Anolis sagrei: one gene and its partner. The protein of the gene in region 2 binds, or shares a complex with, the protein of the main gene of each other region. Links are inferred from orthologs where the notes say so. Each region holds a gene or a part of one and is shown on either strand. Other genes may lie near its edges.

Region 1 (11,462 bases), on a different chromosome or scaffold from region 2:
GGTTGCCGACTGACTATAAAAAAAGGTTGCTGGGCCTGTTTTTCACTCACAAATACAAGAAAATGTGTTCAGAACATCAACATACAACCACAATTGCCTAGTGATATTTGCATATCATACTACTGTTAGTGGTACAAGAAATTATTAATAGTGTAGACAGTATTAACGCTGTCTCTTCAACAACAACAGAAGTAAATCTCTCTCTCTTTCCCAATTGAAGTTTCTCTCAGTGCACTGTACCTACAATGGCAGTCTAAGAGGGTAAATCCATCCTTTCAGGGTTTGAGTATACAATACTTAACAGCAAAATACTGAAGTAATTCCACCCTCCCATATTTTTTCAATTGAGTTTACTCTCAACGAAATACATATTGGATAGCAGATGAAAGTACACTTAGGCTGTTGGAGTTTTTTATATTATAAGCTTTAACCTAGATAAAGATAAGCTGGTGAACTGTGGGCCACACAGTACTACTGTTTGGTGGATTAGTAATTGCTTCACCGACTGGACCTGATGGTTGCTCCATCCTGGAAAGAAGTGACTAGTTAGAATGCCTCAGGGTTCTGTCCTAAGTTTGGAGTTGCTTAACATCTTTATAAATCACTAGCGTATAACCGGCATCGACTGCGTATACATTTTCTTTGTGGTTCTTTCTTTCCTTCCTCTGTTTCCCTCATACATCTTCTCCCTCTTGCTTTTCTTCCTTTCCTTCCTTCTTTCCTTGCTTTCTCTCATACACATTTCCCCTCATCTATCTTTCCTTTCTCCTCCTTCTTTCTTCTCTCTCTTCCTTTGTCCCTTCTTTCTTCCCTTTCTTCCCCTCATACCATTTCCTTTCCCCCCCCCCTTTTTATTTCTTTTTTCCTCTTTGTCCCCTTTTCTTCCCTTTCTTTAATAATAATAATAATAATAATACATCTTTATTTATACCCCACCACCATCTCCCATAGTGATTCGGGGAAGCTTACATAATAGCACAAAAAGGTGTCATACATTACATAAAATAAAATACATCAACATGTGAAATCAATAACACATTACATAAATCAGATGTATAAATTAAGTAAAAAAAACCCATCTATTAAATAAATTCAATAAAATATGGCCATAACTGTTGATTAAAAGATACATAAATCAATGTAGCAGCCCAGCTGAAGGCCCATACAGTGTGGATATAAAGTGCTAAGTAATTAGCAGTCAGTTCTGGCAACTGTCTAAACATTATCAAAAGCCTGCTGAAAAGAAAGAAGTTTTTAGCTCTTTCCAAAAGTGCTGTAATGTGTCTAAGTTCCCTGGGGAGGGTGTTCCAGAGCCAGGGGACTACCACGGAGAAGGTCCTCTCTCTCGCCCCCACCAACCACACTTGAGATGGAGGTAGGACCGAGAGGAGGGCCTCCCCGGCAGATTTTAGAGCCTGTGCCGCTTCATAGGGGGAGATGCGGTCATGAAGATAGCCTGGACCTGAACAGTGTAGGGCTTTATAGGTAATAATCTGCACTGTGAATTGGGACTGGAAACTTACAGGCAGCTAGTGGAGCTGCTTCAGTAGGGGTATGGCATGCTCCCTATAGCTAGCTCCAGTTAGTAACCTGGCTACCGATCTTTGCACCAACTGCAATTTCCAAGCTGTCTTCAAAGACAGCCCCACGTAGAGTGCATTACAGTAATCCATTCTAGAAGTAACTAAGGCATGGACAGCAATGGCCAAGTCAGGCTTCTCGAAGTACAGTCGCTGCTGGTGCACAAGTTTTAACTGTGCAAAGGCCCTCCAGGCCATCGCCAACACCAGGAGGAGCCCCTGACTGTGGAACCTGTGTCCTCAGGGGGAATGTAACCCCGTTTCTAATATTTGTAATTTCTTTATGTTTGTGGGTAAACAGTATTTCTTGTTGTTTTTTGTCAGTGTTGATTTACATTGTCTGGTTTGCCTACTCTGGAACATGCAACATATAATTGTTCTTCTTTAGGGATCCCTTTCAAACCAATGAAACTATATCTGTCATATATATGTGTGTGTTTGAATAATATATATCTGTATCTATGGCTGGATAGCTCTTTGTCAGGAGGACTTTGATTATTTTTTCTTACCATGGTGAAGGGAGTTGGACTGGATGGCCTTAAGGCAGCATTTCTCAACCTGAGGTTCAGGACCACTGGGGGGGGGGGTCGTGAGGGGGTGTCAGAAGGGTCACCAAAGTCCACCAGAAAGCACAGTATTTTCTGTTGGTCATGGGGGTTCTATGTGGGAAGTTTGGCCCAATTCTATCGTTAGTGGGGTTCAGAATGCTTTTTGATTGTAGGTGAACTGTAAATCCCAGTAACTACAACTCCCAAATGTCAAGGTCTATTTCCCCCAAACTCCAAATCTGGCGGCAATTCGTCCAGCGGATTTTGAGTTATGATGTCACTCAAAACAAACAAAGCATTTATATACATACTTACTTAGGTGATCCCTCATTGTCCGAGTAGGATAGTCTTCCAAGATCAGTGTAGTGGTGGTGGGTCCGCAGGTGACTGTGGAGCCCTATTCTTGATATGCATCTTCTCCCGCAGTGAGGGCATTGGTTTCCAGGTGGAAGGCGGTCTTGGTCAGTGTTGGTTTGATGTGTCTTCCTCTTGGCACATTTCTCCCTTTTTTCCCTCCATTCGTGCCTCTTCAAATTCTACAGCACTGCTGGTCACAGCTGACCTCCAGCTGGGGCTCTCAAGGGCCAGGGCTTCCCAGTTCTTAATGTCTATGCCAGAGTTTTAAAAGTTGGCTTTGAGCCCATCTTTAAATTTCTTTTCCTGCCCACCAACATGACAGATATAGTATCATAGATTTGAAAGAAACCCCTAAAGAAGGACAATTATACAGGGTGAGGCAGCAGAACTTCCTTTTTTTAAATGGGCGCCATTCAGTCAGTTGAAGACGTAGCAGAGCGCTAGTGGTCTCGTTCGAGGGGTGGGAGTATAAAGTTTTGTCCATGCACAGTTCCGTCGCCATTATGCATTGGAACAGTGAGGAGCGTGCTTTTGCCATTGAGGCCTACTTTTCAAGCAGATTTGGAGTGGCCGGCCTGCTCTCCAGATTTAGCCCCTTGTGATTTTTTTCTATGGGTTTTTTTGAAATCCCGTGTTTATGTGAACCGTCTAAGGACCTTACAAGATTTGAAGACCAACATCCAGGAAGAAATTGCCAACATAACGCCTGTTATGCTGGCAAGTCATAACAAACGCCAGAAATCGGTTTACTCAGTGTATGGAGAATGGGGGACGACACCTACCTAATTTGATCTTCAAAACTATGTAAAATAAATCTTTAGGTATGCGCCTACATTACAAAAAAAATTAAAAATTTCTGATTCATACAATAATGGGTTTTATTAAGTTTTGAAAAAAGGAAGTTATGCTGCCTCACCCTGTATATTGTATATTCCAGAGCAGCCAAACCAGACAATCTCTACATCAACATTGATAAAGAAACAATAAGAAATACCGTTTACCCACAAGCATCAAGAAACTACATATATTAGAAACCAACACTTTCTCGTTACTTTATTTTCCAGATCACCAGACTGGGCCACAGTAACGCATGGCAGGGGACGGCTAATATATATATAATCAGCAGAGTTTAAAAAGTATTCCTTTTAGTTTTCCAAAAACGTCTACTCTCCCTTAAAATATATTTGCCAGGTTGTGCTATTAAGCTTTCATGATGCTTAAGGCAGGTTAGTAAGGTTGGCTATTAAGGTTGGTAGTTTAAAGTTGTTGTTTTTTTTTTTTTTTGGAACCACCTATTACAAATCATCCTCTGGAAACGGTACACGTGGTCCCTGAAAGGCGTACATTTGGAACAAATTAATTGCTACAAATATCTAGACATTATGTTCTCTTCATCTGGTGCTTGTGCTAACCATATTACTCATAGTATACAAAGAGCAACAAAAGCAGCAGGTTCCATTTATAAGCTGTACCATCATAGATACCCAGTCACAATCAGACCTGCCCTGGAAGTCTTTAAAACAAAAATAATGCCAACACTTATATTTGGGGCTGAAATTTGGGGGCAAATCAATTTGGCCAAGATCGAAGCCTTCCAAGTTAAGCAGCTTCACACCTTCCTGGGCCTTTCCAGAACAACGCTGATGGCGGCAGTAAGGGCTGAGCTAGGAATACTCCCAGTAAAAGCTCAAATCTTAATGAGACAGTTTAATTACTGGTCAAAATAAACTCTATGGATCCCAGTAGACTTCCTTGTCTATGTCTAGAAGATCAAGTCCAGCATGACCAGAAGTCATCATAGATGGCGGCTCTGAATAATGAGTTGGCTGGATTCGGTCTGCCTTTGCAATTTCTGGGTGTTTTGGGTCCCGGAGCAGGGCAAGTGCTCAAGCGGCGCATTCGGGACGTCTATGCACAGCTGGACCTAGAGAGCATAGGTAGGTCTTCAGCCACAAGGTGTTTAGCTTCCCACAAAAGGAATATTCATTTAGAGCACTACCTAACTATTCCACTTCCACTACCCTTAAGAAGAATATATACTAGGGCTAGGTTTGAACAACTTGGTATTATGGTGCAAACCGGGCACTACTGTACATCCCAAGAAGAGAGAGATTCTGTGTATGGGGAGAACAAACAGTGGAAGACATTGAACATTTCTTAATTGACTGTCCAGCATATACTGAACTGTGAGACAGATATTTACATCCAGTATTATCCAACTGCAGGTCCCCCAACAGAAATGATATTCTGACATCCCTCTTGCGAGGGCAGGAAAGATCCAGCATAATCAGAGTAAGCCTTTTTATTCTGAAAGCTATTAAGAAAAGAGCAGATTTCCTGAAAGAAGAACCAGGAAAATAAGATTCTGACTATAAATGGAAGGTCAGCTGCTGTCCTCACCTTTTTGCCTTGTTTTTTACTCATGTTCCATTTTGAAATGGTCATATGACTGATCAAATAAATAAATAAATATATTATTATTATTATTATAAATCATCCTCTGGTTTAAAAAAATCCATGTTCTGTAAGTGGAAGACAACTCCTGTAATTCCTGGCTTTGAGTATGCTTGCTGTAGTTTTATTAGATGCAACCTAAACAGAGAGTCCAAATTCCCAAACTCTAGTCCTCCAGGTAATTTGGACTCAACTACCAGTGGCTCTGGCTTGGATTCTTGTTATTTTATGATGTTTTATACTTACTATCGATGTATTTGGATTGTTGTTTACATTATTTTAATATGTTGTCAGCTGCTTTGGCTTCCGTGAGGGAGAAAGATGAGATATAAATATTTATTATTATTATTTATTCTGGGAGCTGAAGTAAAAAAATAATAATTGGAAGACACAACGAGGACATGAAGTTGTTTACTTCCAAGAACAGAATTAAACTAGCGGTCCCCTGCCACGCGTTGCTGTGGCCCAGTCTGGTGATCTGGAAAATAAAGTAATGAGAAAGTGTTGGTTTCTAATGTATGCAATGCCTTTTTGCTTGTGAGTAAACAGTATTTCTTGCTGTTTCTTTGCCAGTGATGATGTAGAGATTGTCTGGTTTGCTTCCTCTGGAACATGCAACATATCATTGTCCTTCTTTAGGGGTCCCTTTCAAATCTTTGATACTGTATCTGTCATATACGTATATGTATGTGTGTGAATGGCTGGATTGCCCTTTGTCAGGAGGGCTTTATGTTTTCTTGCCCTGGTGAAGGGAGTTGGACTGGGTGGCCTTAAGGCAGCATTTCTCAACCTGAGAAGTCAAGACCCGGGGGGGGGGGTCACCAGGGGGGTGTCAGAAGGGTCACCAAAGACCACCAGAAAACATAGTATTTTCTGTTGGTCATGGGGGTTCTGTGTGGGATGTTTGGCCCAATTCTATCGTTGGTGGGGTTCAGAATGCTCCTTTATTGTAGGTGAACTATAAATCCCACTTACTACAACTCCCAAATGCCAAGGTCTATTTTCCCCAAACTCCATCTGTGTTCACATTTGGGCATATTGAGCATTCCTGTCAAATTTGGTCCAGATCCATCCTTGTTTGAGTCCACAGTGTTCTCTGGATATAGGTGAACTACAATTCCAAAACTTAAGGTCAATGCTCACCAAACTCTTCTAGTGTTTTCTGTTGGTCATGGGAGAGCTGTGTGCCAAGTTTGGTTCAATTCCATTGTTGGTGGAGTTCCGAATGCTCTTTGATTATAGGTGAACTATAAAACCCAGAAACTACAACTCCCAAATGACAAAATCATAATTTTTTGAGTGATGGTCACTCCTTGTGTTGTGAGACTCTTTGTTGCCAAATTTGGTGTGATTTTGTTCATTGGTTCTTTTGTTTTTAAGGTACGCATTATGCACAGACCATTTTTATATAGAGAGATACTATTCACACATCTATGGGATCTACTGAATTCTATATCTTTCTCCCATGTATAAATAAAATGGTTTGCTTTTAGAGAGAGAGAGAGAGAGATTGGAACAGAAGACAATGACATGCTTACCAAATTTGACAGTATTTCAGACAAGAACATCGATTCCTCTTCCTGGAAGAGCTGCTTGACAGTCACAGACACTGCCTCAAAGAATGGAATCCTCTTCAAGGGGCTCCGGGAAAGCTCCACACAACCCACTTCCCAACGAGGCCTACCTCTACCCTTCAAGCCTTTCCCGCTCTCCTCAAAACAAACTTACCGCCCGATGGTCACTTAGCAACCGAAACAGGAAGCCACCCCAAAGCATGCCGGGTAAACCATCCCCCTAGCGTCAACTCCGGTAGTGTACTACCTTTCCCAAGACGCTTTGCGACCAACACAACCTGAAATTCATCCTGAGGTAGAGGCACGTGAGCAAGCCAAATCCCAGGCGCATGCGCAAACCAAATCCAGTTGGAAACACAGCGACTGAAGCCCTCCACAGGCCGCAACTTCCGGGCAACCTCCACTTCCGGCTCTTCCAACATGGCTGCGCTGCCACTTCCGCTCCTTTGCTTAGGCCTACAGTTCCCGGCATGCAGCGCTCCAGAGGCGGTTTTTCTGCTTCGTGCAAACGTCCGAAGGGAGAAAAAGGAAGTGTCGAGAGTAGGGAAGGCAGTCACTCGAGACCCGTTGCAGGCAGCGCCTCGGCAGCCTTTCCCTGAGAGCCCAAAGGGCCTCGAAACGTAAGTAGAGGCAGGGTGTACCTGCAGTGTAGACTTAACCCGGGTTGACACCGCTTTAATTGCCATGGCTCAATGCTAGAGGATCCTGGGAGTTGCATTTTTACACATTCTTTAGTCTTTTCTACCCAAAGTGCTGATGTCTCACCGAACGACAATGAATCTTGTATTTTTTTACATTTGTAGCAGGATATTTTGAGCTGTATAAGATTTGAATAGGGAACAATAATAGTTGCACTCACTGACTCATTCCTGTGGGAGAAGATATTTAGTCAGAAGATAACTGAGTAGAATGTTTCCTTTATATGGCTTAGTTAAAAAGTGAAGAGCTGATGTAATGTATATATATATACAGGCTGTTCATGTCAGCTGTCACGGACTGGATGAGGGACAACAGATTGAAACTGAATCCAGACAAGACAGAGGTACTCCTGGTCAGTCGAAAGGCCGAACAGGGTACGGGGTTACAGCCTGTGCTGGACGAGGTCACACTCCCCCTAAAAGCACAGGTACGCAGCCTGGGAGCTCTCCTGGATTCATTGCTGAACCTGGAACCCCAGCTTTCAGCGGTGGTCAGGCGAGTATTCGCACAATTAAAACTTGTGCGCCAGCTGCGTCCGTACCTTGGGAAGGCTGACTTGGCCACGGTAGTACACACTTTGGTTACATCCCGCTTAGATTACTGCAACACTCTCTACGTGGGGTTGCCTCTGAAGACTGCCCGGAAGCTGCAGCAAGTACAACGCGCGGCAGCCAGATTACTAACGGGGGCTGGGTACAGGGAGCACACCACTCCGCTGTTACTCAAACTCCACTGGCTGCCAATTAGCTTCCGAGCACAATTCAAAGTGCTGGTGTTAACCTATAAAGCCCTAAACGACTCCGGCCCTGTTTACCTCTCCGAACGTATTCTCCCCTACGAACCATCAAAACCACTAAGATCGTCTGGAGGGGCCCTGCTCTCGGTCCCACCACCTGCACAAGCACGGCTGGTGGGGACGAGGGACAGGGCCTTTTCGATGGTGGCCCCTCGACTTTGGAACTCCTTACCATTAGAGATCAGAACTGCCCCCTCCCTCATGACGTTCAGGAAACTAACAAAGACCTGGTTGTGGAACGCGGCATTTGACAACTGATTTAATTCTTTGCCCACATGAAAGGAGGATGATGAATGGGATTGTGATGGTGTTGGACGATTTGGCTCTTTTAACTGTGATGATAATGTTTTAATGTGTATGGTGCTGATATTTTAATCGTGTAATGAAGTGGCATTGTGTTGTTATTGTATATTCTTTGTATGTTAACACATGTTGTGAACTGGTCCGAATCCCTCTTTGAAGGTGAGAGGGTCGGTATATAAAACCTTGAAATAAATAATAATAAATAAATATATATAAAAATGGTCTGTGCATAATGAGTTCCACACAGCCCTATATCCCATAATATCTGCTTTGAACTGGGGACCCTTCCACACAGCTGAATAAAATCATACATTATCTGCTTTGACCTGGAATATATGGCAGTGTGGACTCAAATAACCCAGTTCAAAGCAGATAGTATGGGATTTTTTTGCCTTGATATTCTGGGTTCCACCTTGTCTCCTGTGCTATGCTAATAATGTAATGTAATGTGCCGGCAGGACTGAAAACCAACAGATCACAGCTTCGAATCCAGGGAGAGGCGGGTGAGCTCCCTCTATCAGCTCCAGCTCCTCATGCGGGGACATGAGAGAAGGATGATAAAAACATCAAATCATCTTGGCGTGCCCTGGGCAACGTCCTTGCAGATGGCCAATTCTCTTACACCAGAAGCGACTTGCAGTTTCTCAAGTCGCTCCTGACACGGCAAATGTAATGTAATATATTGTGTATATATATAATATTTATAATATTGGAATTTAATGCAATATAATACTACTACTAATAATAATAATATATTATAATTATATATTTATATTACATGTAGTATTGCTAATAATATTACAATATAATGGTATAGTACAATATAGTAATATTTAAGACTGATATTGTACTAGGCTCATAACATATTGTATGTATATATATATCTTGTAAGCCACTCTGACTCCCCTTCAGGGTGAGTAGGGTGGCATATAAATGTTGTAAATAATACATAAATAAATATACATGAAAGGTTTTCATGAGAACTTCTCTGCCTGGCTGTCTACAATATGTACTAGCTGACCAATTAAAGATACAGGAACGCAGACATACTATAGAAAATTGTGGCTTTCATGGCCAGAATCCCAGAGTTGCTGTGAGTTTTCCAAACTGTCTGGCCATGTTCAAGAAGCATTTTCTCCTGACGTTTCACCCACATCTATGGCAGGCAGCCTCGGAGGTTGTGAGGTCTGTTGGAGACTAGGAAAATAATAATATTTTTTATTTATACCCCACCACCATCTCCCCAATGGGCCCTCGGGGCAGCTTACATGAGGCCAAGCCCAGAAATGCATTACAGCAAAATAAAACCAAAACACAAAATAAACATCACAATAAAATGAAACATAAGAATTCAGTAAAATAATGCAAAATACAGTAATAGATAAATCACAATCACAGTGAGTGGGCCACATGTACAAGGTAACAATTTTACACATTCTTTAGTCTTTTCTACCCAAAATGCTGGTGTTTCACCGAACGACAATAAATCTTGTAATTTTTGACATATATATGAAAAGCTTTCATGAGAACCGTTCTTCCAGGTTGTCTACAATATGTACTAGCTGACCAGTTATTGATACAGGAACGCAGACATACTATAGAAAAGGGAATAATTGTGGCTTTCATGGCCAGAATCACCGAGTTGCTGTGAGTTTTCCAAACTGTCTGGCCATGTTCAAGAAGCATTCTCTCCTGACATTTCACCCACATCTATGGCAGGCATCCTCAGAGGTGTGAGGTCTGTTGGAAACTAGGAAAATGTGGTTTAAATATCTTTGGAAAGACCAGGGTGGGAGAAAGAACTCTTATCTGTTGGAGGCAGGCGTGAATGTTTCAGTTGGCCACTTTGATTAGCATTTAATGACCTTGCAGCCTCAAAGACTGGCTGGTTGCCGCCTGGGAGAATCCTTGGTTAGAAAGTGTTACCTGGCCCTGATTGTTTCTTGTCTTGAATTCTCTTTTTTCTGAGTGTTGCTCTTTATTTACTGTCCTGATTCTAGAATTTTTTAAATAGTAGCCAGATTTTGTTCATTTTCATGGTTTCCTCCTTTCTGTTGAAATTGCCCACGTGCTTGTGGATTTCAATGGATTCTCTGTGTAGTCTTACATGCTGGTTGTTAGAGTGGTCCAGCATTTCTGTGTTCTCAAATAATATGCTATGTCATCAGGTGATTTGCTATGGTTGACTTTTCAGATGGAATTAGTCTGCAGTGCCTCTCATGTTCCTTGGTTCATGTTTGAGCAATGCTGCGTTTGGTGGTTCCTATGTAGACTTGTTCACAGCTGCATGGTATATGGTAGACTCCTGCAGAGGTGAGAGGATCCCTTTTGTCCTTCACTGAATGTAGCGTTTGTTAAATTTTCTTTCTGGTTCTGTAAATAGTTTGTAGGTTGTGTTTCTTCATCAGCTTCCCTATGCAGTCAGTGGTTCCCATGATGTAAGAACTTTTCCTCTTGGTGGATCTTTGTTTTTGCTCTCATGGCTTGTTCTTGGTCTTGCAGTTCTTCTAATGTATGTGATGGAGTACCCATTGGCCTTAGAGAATCTGTGAACCCCACCTCCTCCAAAGTGAACTGAGCCACCTAAACTGGGTTCTACAGGCCAATGGAGGCTCTTCCACAGACATCAGAAGAGCTGCAAGACAAAGAACAAGCAATGAGAGTAAAGACAAAGATCCACCCAGAGGAAACGTGTCTGTGGTAGAGTATCTATTCACCTGTAGAGCCCAGTTTAGATGGTTCAGTTCACCTTGGAACCTTGGAGGAGCTGGAGCTCACAGACACATTTTGCACGGTCTGCCAGGGCTTTGATTGAGCTTTTTTGATTTGGGTGATGGTTGGAATTTTTATGTAGGTATCCTATCTGTTTATGTAGGTTTTCTGTAAGCTGTGTGGCCCAGTTGTTGATTGGGTTTGCAGATGACTATGGCATCTAGAAATGGCGGTTTTCCTTTATTTTCTTTGGAGCCATGGAGAAGAAGAACTCAACAAGATAGTTATTGAAAAACTATAGCAAAATGTGCTGCAGGATGTCCCTCCTGCAAAAACATTTTTTTTTCAGTTTAATGTACTTTTGCCTTGTTTTTATGATAGTACCAATTAGGAAATGACATTTATAACCCAGGAACAAAATTTGTTTACATAGTGCAAT
Region 2 (10,811 bases):
AAACAAAGACGTGGTTATGGGATCAGATTTTGGCCAGTAATGCAATGCAAAGAATAATCAGGAAATACGTGCTATGACAATGGGAATGGCCACAATGGATGATTTTTTGGATCATGTGATTTCAATATTTATATTAGGATGTTTTAGTGATTACATGTTGTATATGCCTATGTTTAATGGTTTTAAGGTTTTAAATTATAGTTATATGTCAGTGTTTATTTCTTGTGATTTTATTTTATTATTATGTTGGCATTGAATTCTTGCCATTAATATGTTGTAGACCGCCTTGAGTCCCCCCAGGACTGAGAAAGACGGTATGTAAATATACTAAATAATAAATAAATAAATGTGTAACACAAGAAAACACTTCATAAATCCTACTTACAGTAACCTTGACAAGAATTCTCATCCCAGATAGAAAGTTTTCTATGGGCAGTTAATCTTCACTTAAATATACACTTCAGCAGTTGTACACTTCACTTAATCTACTATTTAAGAGACCAAGCTCTCTGCTGCTTCAAGACTTTTTCAATCAGATGCTCTTCAGATGTTGTAGACTACAAGTCCCATCAGATTGCATCAGTCTGGCCAAATGATCAAACAGATTTTTTTCATGGGTGCAGATAAACCCTGCAACAGGTCAGCTGGATGGACTTCTGAGGCATTTGGACATAGTGTAATTTCACTAACTCCAAGTCAGTTTTCTCTGAATTGTTGATGCCTTATACTTAATATACATATCATACAGAGGATTATACAAATTTAGGACTGAATGTGACAACCTGTACAAGTTTCTTCCTGTTGTCCTATTTCCTGTCCTGTTATGATTGTATATTGTTCATATCAGGAAGTCTTGCATGTTTTATTTCATGAATGTATTTTCAAAAAATATGTTGACATATCTACAATAATTTCTGAGAAAGGTCACAGAGAAGAAATATTCTATAGATTAAGTGGAAATGCATCATAAATGTAAACAGTCTCGTTTTTGCTTTACCAAAGTGTCTAATTACACAATCAGCCCACATGTGAGCCATTGCTCAAAATATAAGTGCCCCAATCTCTTCTCTCTAGCACAGGAAGAATCAAAGCTGGAAGAGACCCCAAGGGGCAACCAGTCCAACCCCTGCCATGCAAGAACACACAATCAAAACATTCCCAACAGACAGCCATCCAACCTCTGCTTTAAAATCCCCACTCTACTGCACTCCAAGACAGTATTTTGCATTGCTAAACAGATCTAGCCATCAAGAAATCCTTCCTAACGTTTAGGTGGGATCTCTTTTCCTGCAATTGGAATCCATTGCTCCATGATGTAGTCTCCAGAACAGCAAAAAACAAGCTTGTCCTTTCCTCAATGTGACATCCTTTCAAATATTTAAACATGGCTAAAATGTCACCTCTCAGCCATCCTTTCCCTAAGCTGTCCCTCACAGAACTTGGTGCCCTTCTCTGGACATGTGAATATCCTTGTGTTGTGGTGCCCAGAACGGGACACAATATCACAGGTAAGGTCTCACCAACACGGAATGGAAGGAATTATGACTTCCCTCAATCTAGACCACAGCTTTCCAAATTGTGTGTCGCAATATATTAGGTCAGCTGCACTGTGTAGATGTGTCATGTGGAAGTAAGGAGAAATCTCTGAGTCTATGTGAAATAAGGAATAAATTGTATATTTTCAAAACATAGGTTTTAATTACATATGTTGTATCCCCATACATTTTATTATTACAATTTATGTATGTGTCTGTATCTCTTATAAAGGGTTGGTTTAACTTCCGGTTTGCTAGTAAAATTTAATTATGTGTCACAAAATGATGCATGTCTAAAAAGTATGTCACCAGCATGAAATATTTTGGAAAGCTCTGATCTAGACATTAGACCAGGCATGGGCAAACTTTGGGCCCCCGGGTGTTTTGGACTTCAACTCCCAAAATTCCTAACAGCCGATGGATGCAGCATTCGCTTTCTTTGCTGCTGCATCACTGATGATCATCTTATGCTCTACTAGTACTCCTTGATTATTATTATTTATACCCTACTTTTTCTCTCCACAAGGAGACTCAAAGCAGTTGGATTCTTTTCACATGTACTGTTTTCAAGTCAGTTGTCACCCGTTTTATACCCGTGCATCTCATTCTGCTTATTTATTTGCTTCATTTTTACCCAGCCTTTCTCACCCCGCAGGGAACTCAAGGCGGTTTACAAACTTCGGCAAAATTCAATGCCTCATGGACATAACAATGAACAGACCCCATTAAATAGTTAAACATATAGGTCGGTGTTATGGGAATTTGGGGAAGCAGTTAAAGCCGAGTCGAACTGAATCAATCCTGCACTGTAGATGCATCCAGCACCCACCACCTGCAAGCAGCTCCCCACCATGTGCTGCTATGGGGAGGGTAATAATAATAATAATAATAATAACTTTATTTATACCCCGCTACCATCTCCCCAAGGGACTCGGTGCGGCTTACATGAGGCCAAGCCCACAGTACATCAGTAAACAAACGTAATAACAAAAACAATCAATATAAAACAATTAATATAAATCACATAAACGAAAAATAAACAATAAACAATAACAGTAACAGTAATAATTTAAAATTTAAAAAATAATGCTGGGCATGAACAAGGTAGGATATAACTGGGATAGGGTTTTTCGAAGAGAGATGAGGGAATGCAGTCAGTCCTAAATCAGGGTAGGCTGGATAGCCTTCTAATAACTTAAATCAGTGGTTCCCAACCTGTGTCACCCCTGGTGTTTTGGCCTACAACTCCCAGAAATCCCAGCCAGTTTACCAGCTGTTAAGACAGGGGTCCCCAAACTTTTTAAACAGAGGGCCAGGTCACAGTCCCTCAAACTGTTGGAGGGCCAGATTATAATTTGAAAAAACATGAATGAATTCATTTGCACACTGCACATATCTTATTTGTAGTGCAAAAAAACACTTAAAAACAATACAATAATTAAAATGAAGAACAATCTTAACAAATATAAACTTATTAGTATTTCAATGGGAAGTGTGGGCCTGCTTTTGGCTGATGAGATAGGATTGTTGTTGTTGTTGTTATGTGCTTTCAAGTTGTTTCAGACTTAGGTTGACCCTGAGCGAGGGTCGGGTAAATGACCTTGGAGGGCCGCATCCGGCCCCTGGGCCTTAGTTTGAGGACCCCTGTGTTAACATATCTGGGAGTTGAAGTCCAAAACATCTGGGGACCCACAGGTTGAGAACCACTGACTTAAATGTAGCACCACAGATCTCTCCCTGTTGGAATTCGTTGTATCAGTTCTGGGCCAGCTCCCTAATCTGTTAAGGGCTGTTGACTCAATGCAACACACCTCTGGTCTTGAGCCAACGATCAGGAAGCAGGCCTGCCCTTCTCACACCTTTCGACACATTCAGGAAAACAAACAGGGCGCTCTCCTTGGTCGTGCGCTCGCCTGGTGTCAACATTTCTGGATTCACACAAGAGGGCAGAAGTCGGGGCCTGCCCTTTGTCGCCCTCGCCCTCCTCCGAAGGGAAGCGCGGCTCTGGGAAGCAAAGGGCTCCCTGCCTCTGAGGTGAAGGGCGGCAGTGACACGTCAAGCGCCCAAATTAGGCGGAGAGGGATCCCTCCTCGGTGTGGGTTGGCTTGGCGGTGCTGCACCCAGCACTTCAGGACCAAGGCCGAAGGGACTGGATGTCAGTGCCGCCCTGCTTTGCCCTCTCCGCCCGGGGTTCAGGGCGCGGCTCCCCTCGAAAGCGAGAAGCGGGGATTATCTAAGAGCGGCCCTCCGAGGAAGAAGGGCCCAAGCTGGGCGCCCAAGGAAGGAGACGGAGCCGCCTCAGCAGGACCCACAGCAGCCCTGCCGGCATCGCCAGCGTCGCCGCGGCCTCCGTCCCGGGAAGGGGGCGAGCGGAGGGAGGGAAGGCCTCTGCAAAGAGAGAGAGCGCGGCCGAGCCGGGGAGTCCGCCGGCGGGGCCAAGCGCGGGGCACCCGGGTGGCTGTCTACTCACTCTCGTCAGGCAGCTGATCCAACTCCGCCATCTTGAAGGAGCCGCGCCGCTTTTTCAAAGGCTGCCTGCCGCGGTGCATTGTGGGGGAGGAGACGGCGTCCTCCGGCGCGGCCTGACTGGAGGGAGGGAGGAGGGGGAGGCGCGCGGGACGCACGGGGCGGGGCCGCGCGCGCTGACGTCACTCGGGATCGGCTCCTGGACTCGGCTGAACTCTGGCCAGGGGCGGAGGCGCGAGCCTCAAGAGCAGCAGCAGCAGCACAGCCTGCTGCCAGGACATCACCGCCTGCCTTCTCTCATGCTGCAGCCCGAGCGCGAGGAGGAAGCCACTTTCCAGGCTCACAACAGCCTGCGCCTCACTTTTCCCAGGGCCCTTCCACACAGCCATAAAACCCAGAATATCAAGGCTGAAAAATCCAACACTATCTGCTTTGAACTGGGTCCACACTGGTATATTGGTATAGTACAATATAGTATTATATAATACTAATATTGTGCTGTGCTAATAATATAATATATTGTATACACATACAATATTAATATTATAATGTAATACAATATAATACTAATACAATATAATTTATTTCATATTACATGTAATATTACTAATATTACAGTTTAGTGTTATAATACAATATGGTAATATATAATACTAATATTGTGCTGTGCTAATATATATATGTATATTGTATACACATACAATATTGATATTATAATGTAATACAATATACTAATTGTTGTTCATTCGTTCAGTCGTCTCCGACTCTTCGTGACCTCATGGACCAGCCCACGCCAGAGCTCCCTGTCGGCCGTCACCACCCCCAGCTCCTTCAAGGTCAGTCCAGTCACTTCAAGGATGCCATCCATCCATCCATCTTGCCCTTGGTCGGCCCCTCTTCCTTTTACCTTCCACTTTCCCCAGCACCATTGTCTTCTCTAGGCTTTGCTGTCTTCTCATGATGTGGCCGAAGTACTTCAACTAATTCAAAGTAATTCAACTAATAATACAATATAATTTGTTTCATATTACATGTAATATTATTAATAATAATAACATTACAGTGTAGCAGTATAGTACAATATAATACTAATGTTCTGTGCTAATAATACAATATATTGTATACACATATATTGATATTATAATGTAATACAATATAACGCTAGTAATAACACAATATAATAATTTTATATTTCATATTACATGTAATATTACTAATATTACAGTATAGTTGTGTAGTACAATATAGTAATATATAATATTAATATTGTGCTATAGTAATATTATATACACATATAATATTGAAAATATTACAGTATAGTTGTATAATACAATATAGTAATATATAATACTAATTTTGTGCTGTGTTAATATTATAATAATATTGCAATATAATTGTAAATTTCATATTACATGTAAGATTACTAATAATATTATTCCAGTATAGTGGTCTAGTACATTATAGTAATATATAATACTAATATTGTGCTATGCTAATAATATAATATATTGTATGTACATATAACTAGTAAGCCGCTCTGAGTCCCCTTCGGGGTGAGAAGGGCAGCATATAAATGTCATAAATAAACAGTCCAAAGCAGATATGGGATTTTATTCAGCTGTATGGGAGGGGCCCCAGACCTAGTTGTAGTTTTACAAAGCTTTCAGCCTTCTCTGCCAATTCTACTTGTTGTTTATTCATTCAGTTCCTTCTGACTCTTCATGACCTCATGAACCAGCCAATGCCAGAACTCCCTGTTGGCCATGGCCACCCCCAGCTCTTTCAAGGTCAAGTCAGTCACTTCAAGGATAACATCAATCTATCTTGCCCTTGGTTGGCACCTCTTCCTTTTTCCTTCCAGTTCCCCCAGCATTATCATCTTCTCTAAGCTTTCCTGTCTTCTCATTATGTGGCCAAAGTACTTCATCTTGGCCTCTAATATCCTTCCCTCCATGAGCATTCAGACTTTATTTCCTGAAGTATGGACTGGTTTGATCTTCTTGTGGTCCAAGGCACTCTCAGAATTTCCAACACCACAGTTCAAAAACGTCTATCTTCCTTCGCTCAGCCTTCCTTATGGTCCAGCTCTCACATCCATAGGTTACTATGGCAAATACCATTGCTTTAACTATGGTGGATCTTTGTTGCCTCTGCTCTTCACTATTTTATTGAGATTGGTCATTGCTCTCCTTCCAAGAAGTAAATGTTTTCTGATTTCCTGGCTGCAGTCTGAGTCTGCAGTAATCTTTACGCCAAGAAATACAAAGTCTGTCACTGCCTCCACATTTTCTCCCATTTGCCAGTTATCAATCAGTCTGGTTGCCATAATCTTGGTTTTTTATGTTTAACTGCAACCAGCTTTTACACTTCCTTCTTTCACCTTGGTTAGAAGGCTTCTCAGTGGTATCATCTACACCTGTAGATGATACAATTCTTAACAGCCATATCATTCTTTCCCTGTTCATAAAGCACGGATAAGATTTCCTACTGGCTGTTAGGAATTGTGGGAGTTGAAGTCCAAAAAACCTGGAGGGCCAAAGTTTGCTCATGCCTGCCCTAACCTATCAAGGTGTTTTCTTGGAAAGTTATTGAGAGGGTCATCTTTACCTTCTTTTGAGGCTGAGTGTGACTTGCCCAAACACACACATTGGTTCTTCACAGCTGAATTGGGAGCCGATCCTTGGTCTCCAGGGCCATAATGCAATGACAAACCGCTTCACCATACTGGCTCTCAAAAGAGAAGTTTGGGTTAACTTCTGTAGACTGCACCCTGTTTTATCAGATTAAACTGCTTCTGCTCTGAAGGCGTTTTGCTCCACGTAGATGGTGGTTCTGGGATAACCGGTATTGTTTTCTTTTTTCAGCTTAAGTAATAGCAGCAAGTAGAACACACAGAATAGTTAAATCAGGCTTGGGTAAACTTCGGCCCTCCAGGTGTTTTGGACTTCAATTCCCTCTGCTAGGAATTGTGGGAGTTGAAGTCCAAACCACCTGGAGGGCTGAAGTTTGCTGAGGCCTGGGTTAGACTGATTTTCTACTGATAATACTGAATGAGTAAGCTGTGCATGGTGAGAAGAAATGCTTCTCACATACAAATAAACGATTGTTAATATGTACGTTGCTACATCAACCTTTAGCAAATGACATGCCTATGTCCAGAGTGTGTTCCCCATTGTGATCCTATTTAACTGGACATAACCCAGGAGAGGGGAATGCAGGGTGACACGAAGAAGAAAAGTACATAATTGTTCATCAGTTGGCCCTTCTTCAGTTAACTGCCATTGTGAAAATAAATCCAGCAAGCACTACAAATGTATCAGATGACTAGGAAACCATACTGGTTATAACAGATGAGCAAACTGTGGACCTCTAGGTGTTTTGGACTTCAACTCTCACAATTCCTAACAGAACACCTGGAGGTCCGACATTTGCCCATGTCTGGGTTGTAAGGTGTCCTGACACAGTAACTGGTAGACAATGGGGTCATCCTAATAAAGATGTCTGTGCCTCCTGCATGGTGGTGTTATGTGTCTGTTGTTGGAGGAAGCTGGGAGAAACAAGAGCCATTTAGTACTTGTGCCAGCTTACTGAGCTACAGGCCAGTCACTAGAGGCTATCACTTCGCATTTTGCGGTTCATACATTATTGTCCCTTTCTCTATCCCTTTTCTGTGCTAGACTGACACTGGGATTAAATTAATGGGAAGGCAAAGGCTGTGGCTTTTTTGTGTACATCAGCTGCACACACTGGGCATTTGTTTTCCATGGACATGGCAGGATTACAAAGATCCCAAAACACTGTAACAGCTTCTGTGGATATATGGTCAGATTAGTGTTCTGCAAGCCCTCTGGTGGCACAGTGTGTTAAACCGCTGCGCTGCTGAACTTGCTGACCAAAAGGTTGGCAGTTTGAATCGGGGTGCGGGATTTTTTATTTTTTTTGTCTTGTCAGGAGTGACTCCTGGTGTGAGAGAATTGGCCGTCTGCAAGGACGTTGCCCAGGGACGCCCGGATGAATTGATGTTTTTATCATCCTTGTGGGAGGCTTCTCTCATGTCCCCGCATGAGCAGCTGGAGCTGATAGAGGGAACTCATCCTCCTCTCCCCGGATTCGAACCTGCGACCTGTCGGTCTTCAGTCATGCCGGCACAGGGGTTTAACCCACTGCTCCACCGGGGTGCGGGATGAGTTCATACTGTTAGGCCCAGCTTCTGTCAACCTAGCAGTTTGAAAACATACAAATATAAGTAGATCAATAGGTACTGCTTCTGCAGGAAGGTAACTGCGCTCCATGCAGTCATGCCGGACATATGACCTTGAAGGTGTCTATGGATAACGCCAACTCTTCGGCTTAGAAATGGAGATGAGCACCACCCCCCAGAGTCAGACATGACCAGACTTAATGTCAGGGGAAACCTATATCTTGACCTAGTGTTCTGCAAATACTGACTGATGAAAGGAAGGTGTTTACAGTTTTTTTCGGTTGTGGGAGAAGCCTTGGTTTTGGATAAGGTGATTGGCCACTTGGCTACCACTATGATAAACATGACTCCTTGGGTATCACATGTGACTGACACTCATCAGCTGCAGAGATGCTGAAGTGTCTCCCAAGATTATCACATCAGCCTTCATATACACAGCAGCTCTTACACTGCTGAGCTTGCTGCTGTTTGAGAATAGGATCACAATTAGAACACAAAGACATAACTCCTGATGTATTCACCCAGCATACCATGGGCATAGGACTTCACTAGTTACTGTAGCATAAGGATAAAGAATTAGTATGAAATTAGCTTTTATTTTTTGCTTCAAAATAAACAGGTTTAACATTTATTCATAATAGAAACTAAGGAAGATGTGTGGATTTTGGAAGAAAATCCAATGTATCTGCAAACAGTTCTAAGTTCGTCCCCTACCTCACTTAGCAAAGGCTATAACCAAGAGTTTTTAGTAGTATTTTGGTCTGTTGCTTAATGGTTAGAAGAGACACAGCAGTCCCCAAACTAGTATGGACCAAAGAGAGGAAGGGGGGGGGGGGGCACACAATTCTCATAGTATTCAATCTCATGTGTTGTAGCCACAAGAGAGTAAAGAAAAATCCTTACAAAAGTGATTAAGGTCAGCATAGCCCTGAAACTTAGTTCTTGTATCTCAGCAGTGGTAGGAATACTTAGATGTTTCAGCAGGTTTTATAGCATTAACTCTTTTAACAAGTTTGATTCTTGTTCACCAGAGGGAAGTTTTATATTTGAAATCCAGCTTCAGCAAGTACTTCAGATTTACCTGAGCGACATCATAGACGATATATCTGAAACAACAAGTTAAGGCTAGACCTTGTAAAACAAATTTCACCAAAACAAAACATTAGTCACACGTGACTGCTTTCAATTCTTACAGTAGCAATAGGGGGGAAAATAGCCAACCTGAACCTCTAAATATTCTTACATATCCTTCCACTAATAATAAAGAGAATAAAATAATAAATGTAATAATAATAGTAAATGTCATAATAATCATAATCATATTAAATAGAGTAAAGTAATAAATGTAATAACTTTGATTTGAGTATAAGCCAAGGGGAGCTTTTTCAGCCTAAAAAAGGGCTGAAAAATTCAGCTTATACTCGAGTATATACGGTATTTAATTTGTACTATTAACCACCTCTGTGCTGTATAAAATGGTATACAATTTAAAATCCAGCATTATTTTTAAACGCACAAATAAATTTAAATATCTCACTACAAATTGTAACAGCTTAGTCGCTCTCAAAGGCTATGATAGTCAGCTAATTTTACATTTTTAACATTGTGTGAGAGATGGAACCACCCTATAACTTTATTCTATTTCAAGGTGATATTAAATTGAACATTCTCCAAGGGATGGCAGCCATACCAGGAGCTCTTCCGATTACATTCATAGCAGAGGAGCGAGTAAAAAAGAATTATAATGTTTGTCAGTAGATGCCAGACTACCATATGTTTAAGACAAAACATTCCAATGATTCAAACATTTTATGGATATTATTCTTAATGCAACTCATCTGATTTTTGAAACTAGGCATAGTCAAATGTGGTTAGTACTTCCATGGAAGACTATGGAGTAATGAGAAAAGAAAAATCCAAGTTTGAAACGAGAGGTACTGTTAGCTGTCAATACTGGGCTCACTGGACCCAATCAATACTTTCAAATATCCTAGATTAAAACTGTTCATTGAAAACTGTCACAACTGAACTCAGCTCTAAGGCTTTGTGCTCACTAATCCTAATAGTGTATCTGTGCATTATCAGTTTCATACTTTTAATTAATCAATAAAAGTGTGCAGTTTGGTGAGCTACGTCAAATATTCTTATGGAAAAATGACCCTATTATTTGTCAATCCAAAGATTCAGGTTACATCAGGAACTATAATTCAGGAGGATAAACAAAGCTCTTTTGAGGAGAATTGTAAATCTATCACCAAACTATAAATCGATTTATAGTTTATATTTAATACGATTAAGCCATGACAACATGATACAAAACAGATATAACTGCCAGTCAGTCTAAAGAAGACTTGTTAGATGGATCTATTTTCTCACCATGTAAGGCAGCTTCTGCTGTATTCTTAACAAAGAGTAAATTCTGAGCTAAACAGAGCACGCTGAAGATTATAATACCCAAGTATTAAGCCATGTTTGATGGTAGCAGGTTCTCCTAAAGGACATTCCACCATCTCCTGCCTCAAAGTGGCCACCTGACAAAGTGAATCAAGACAAATCATAAAGACCCATACATTTTCATTACAGATGCAGGCATGGGTTCATACTTGTGC

Evidence for each region.
Region 1: the proteins of LIN9 (region 2) and LIN37 are in contact, whole or in part, in a crystal structure (PDB 7N40), measured with the Homo sapiens proteins. The link is inferred for Anolis sagrei from reciprocal best matches to the Homo sapiens genes LIN9 and LIN37. Residues at the interface, in NP_001353174.1 of Homo sapiens: Lys99, Ala101, Ser102, Gln103, Lys104, Ile105, Gly106, Arg108, Leu109, Arg110, Leu112, Leu113, Lys114, His119, Trp121, Cys122, Ile123, Glu125, Trp126, Phe127, Thr227, Leu237, Phe238, Leu272, Ser273, Asn274; in NP_061977.1 of Homo sapiens: Tyr95, Ile97, Leu99, Phe100, Asp101, Arg102, Val104, Leu106, Ala107, Phe109, Ser110, Glu111, Asn112, Thr113, Pro114, Leu115, Tyr116, Ile118, Cys119, Arg120, Trp122, Met123, Asn125.

Annotation. Positions count from the first base shown.
Region 1 is NC_090034.1:88,074,681-88,086,142, reverse strand, and holds the start of LIN37 (protein lin-37 homolog), read left to right. Parts: upstream 1-6,922; 5' UTR 6,923-7,133; intron 7,134-11,462.
Region 2 is NC_090021.1:39,811,700-39,822,510, forward strand, and holds the start of LIN9 (protein lin-9 homolog), read right to left. Parts: upstream 4,118-10,811; 5' UTR 4,085-4,117; coding exon 4,006-4,084; intron 1-4,005. Other genes in the region: PARP1 (poly [ADP-ribose] polymerase 1), read right to left, coding at 9,227-9,308. UniProt on the Homo sapiens protein: Acts as a tumor suppressor. Inhibits DNA synthesis. Its ability to inhibit oncogenic transformation is mediated through its association with RB1. Plays a role in the expression of genes required for the G1/S transition.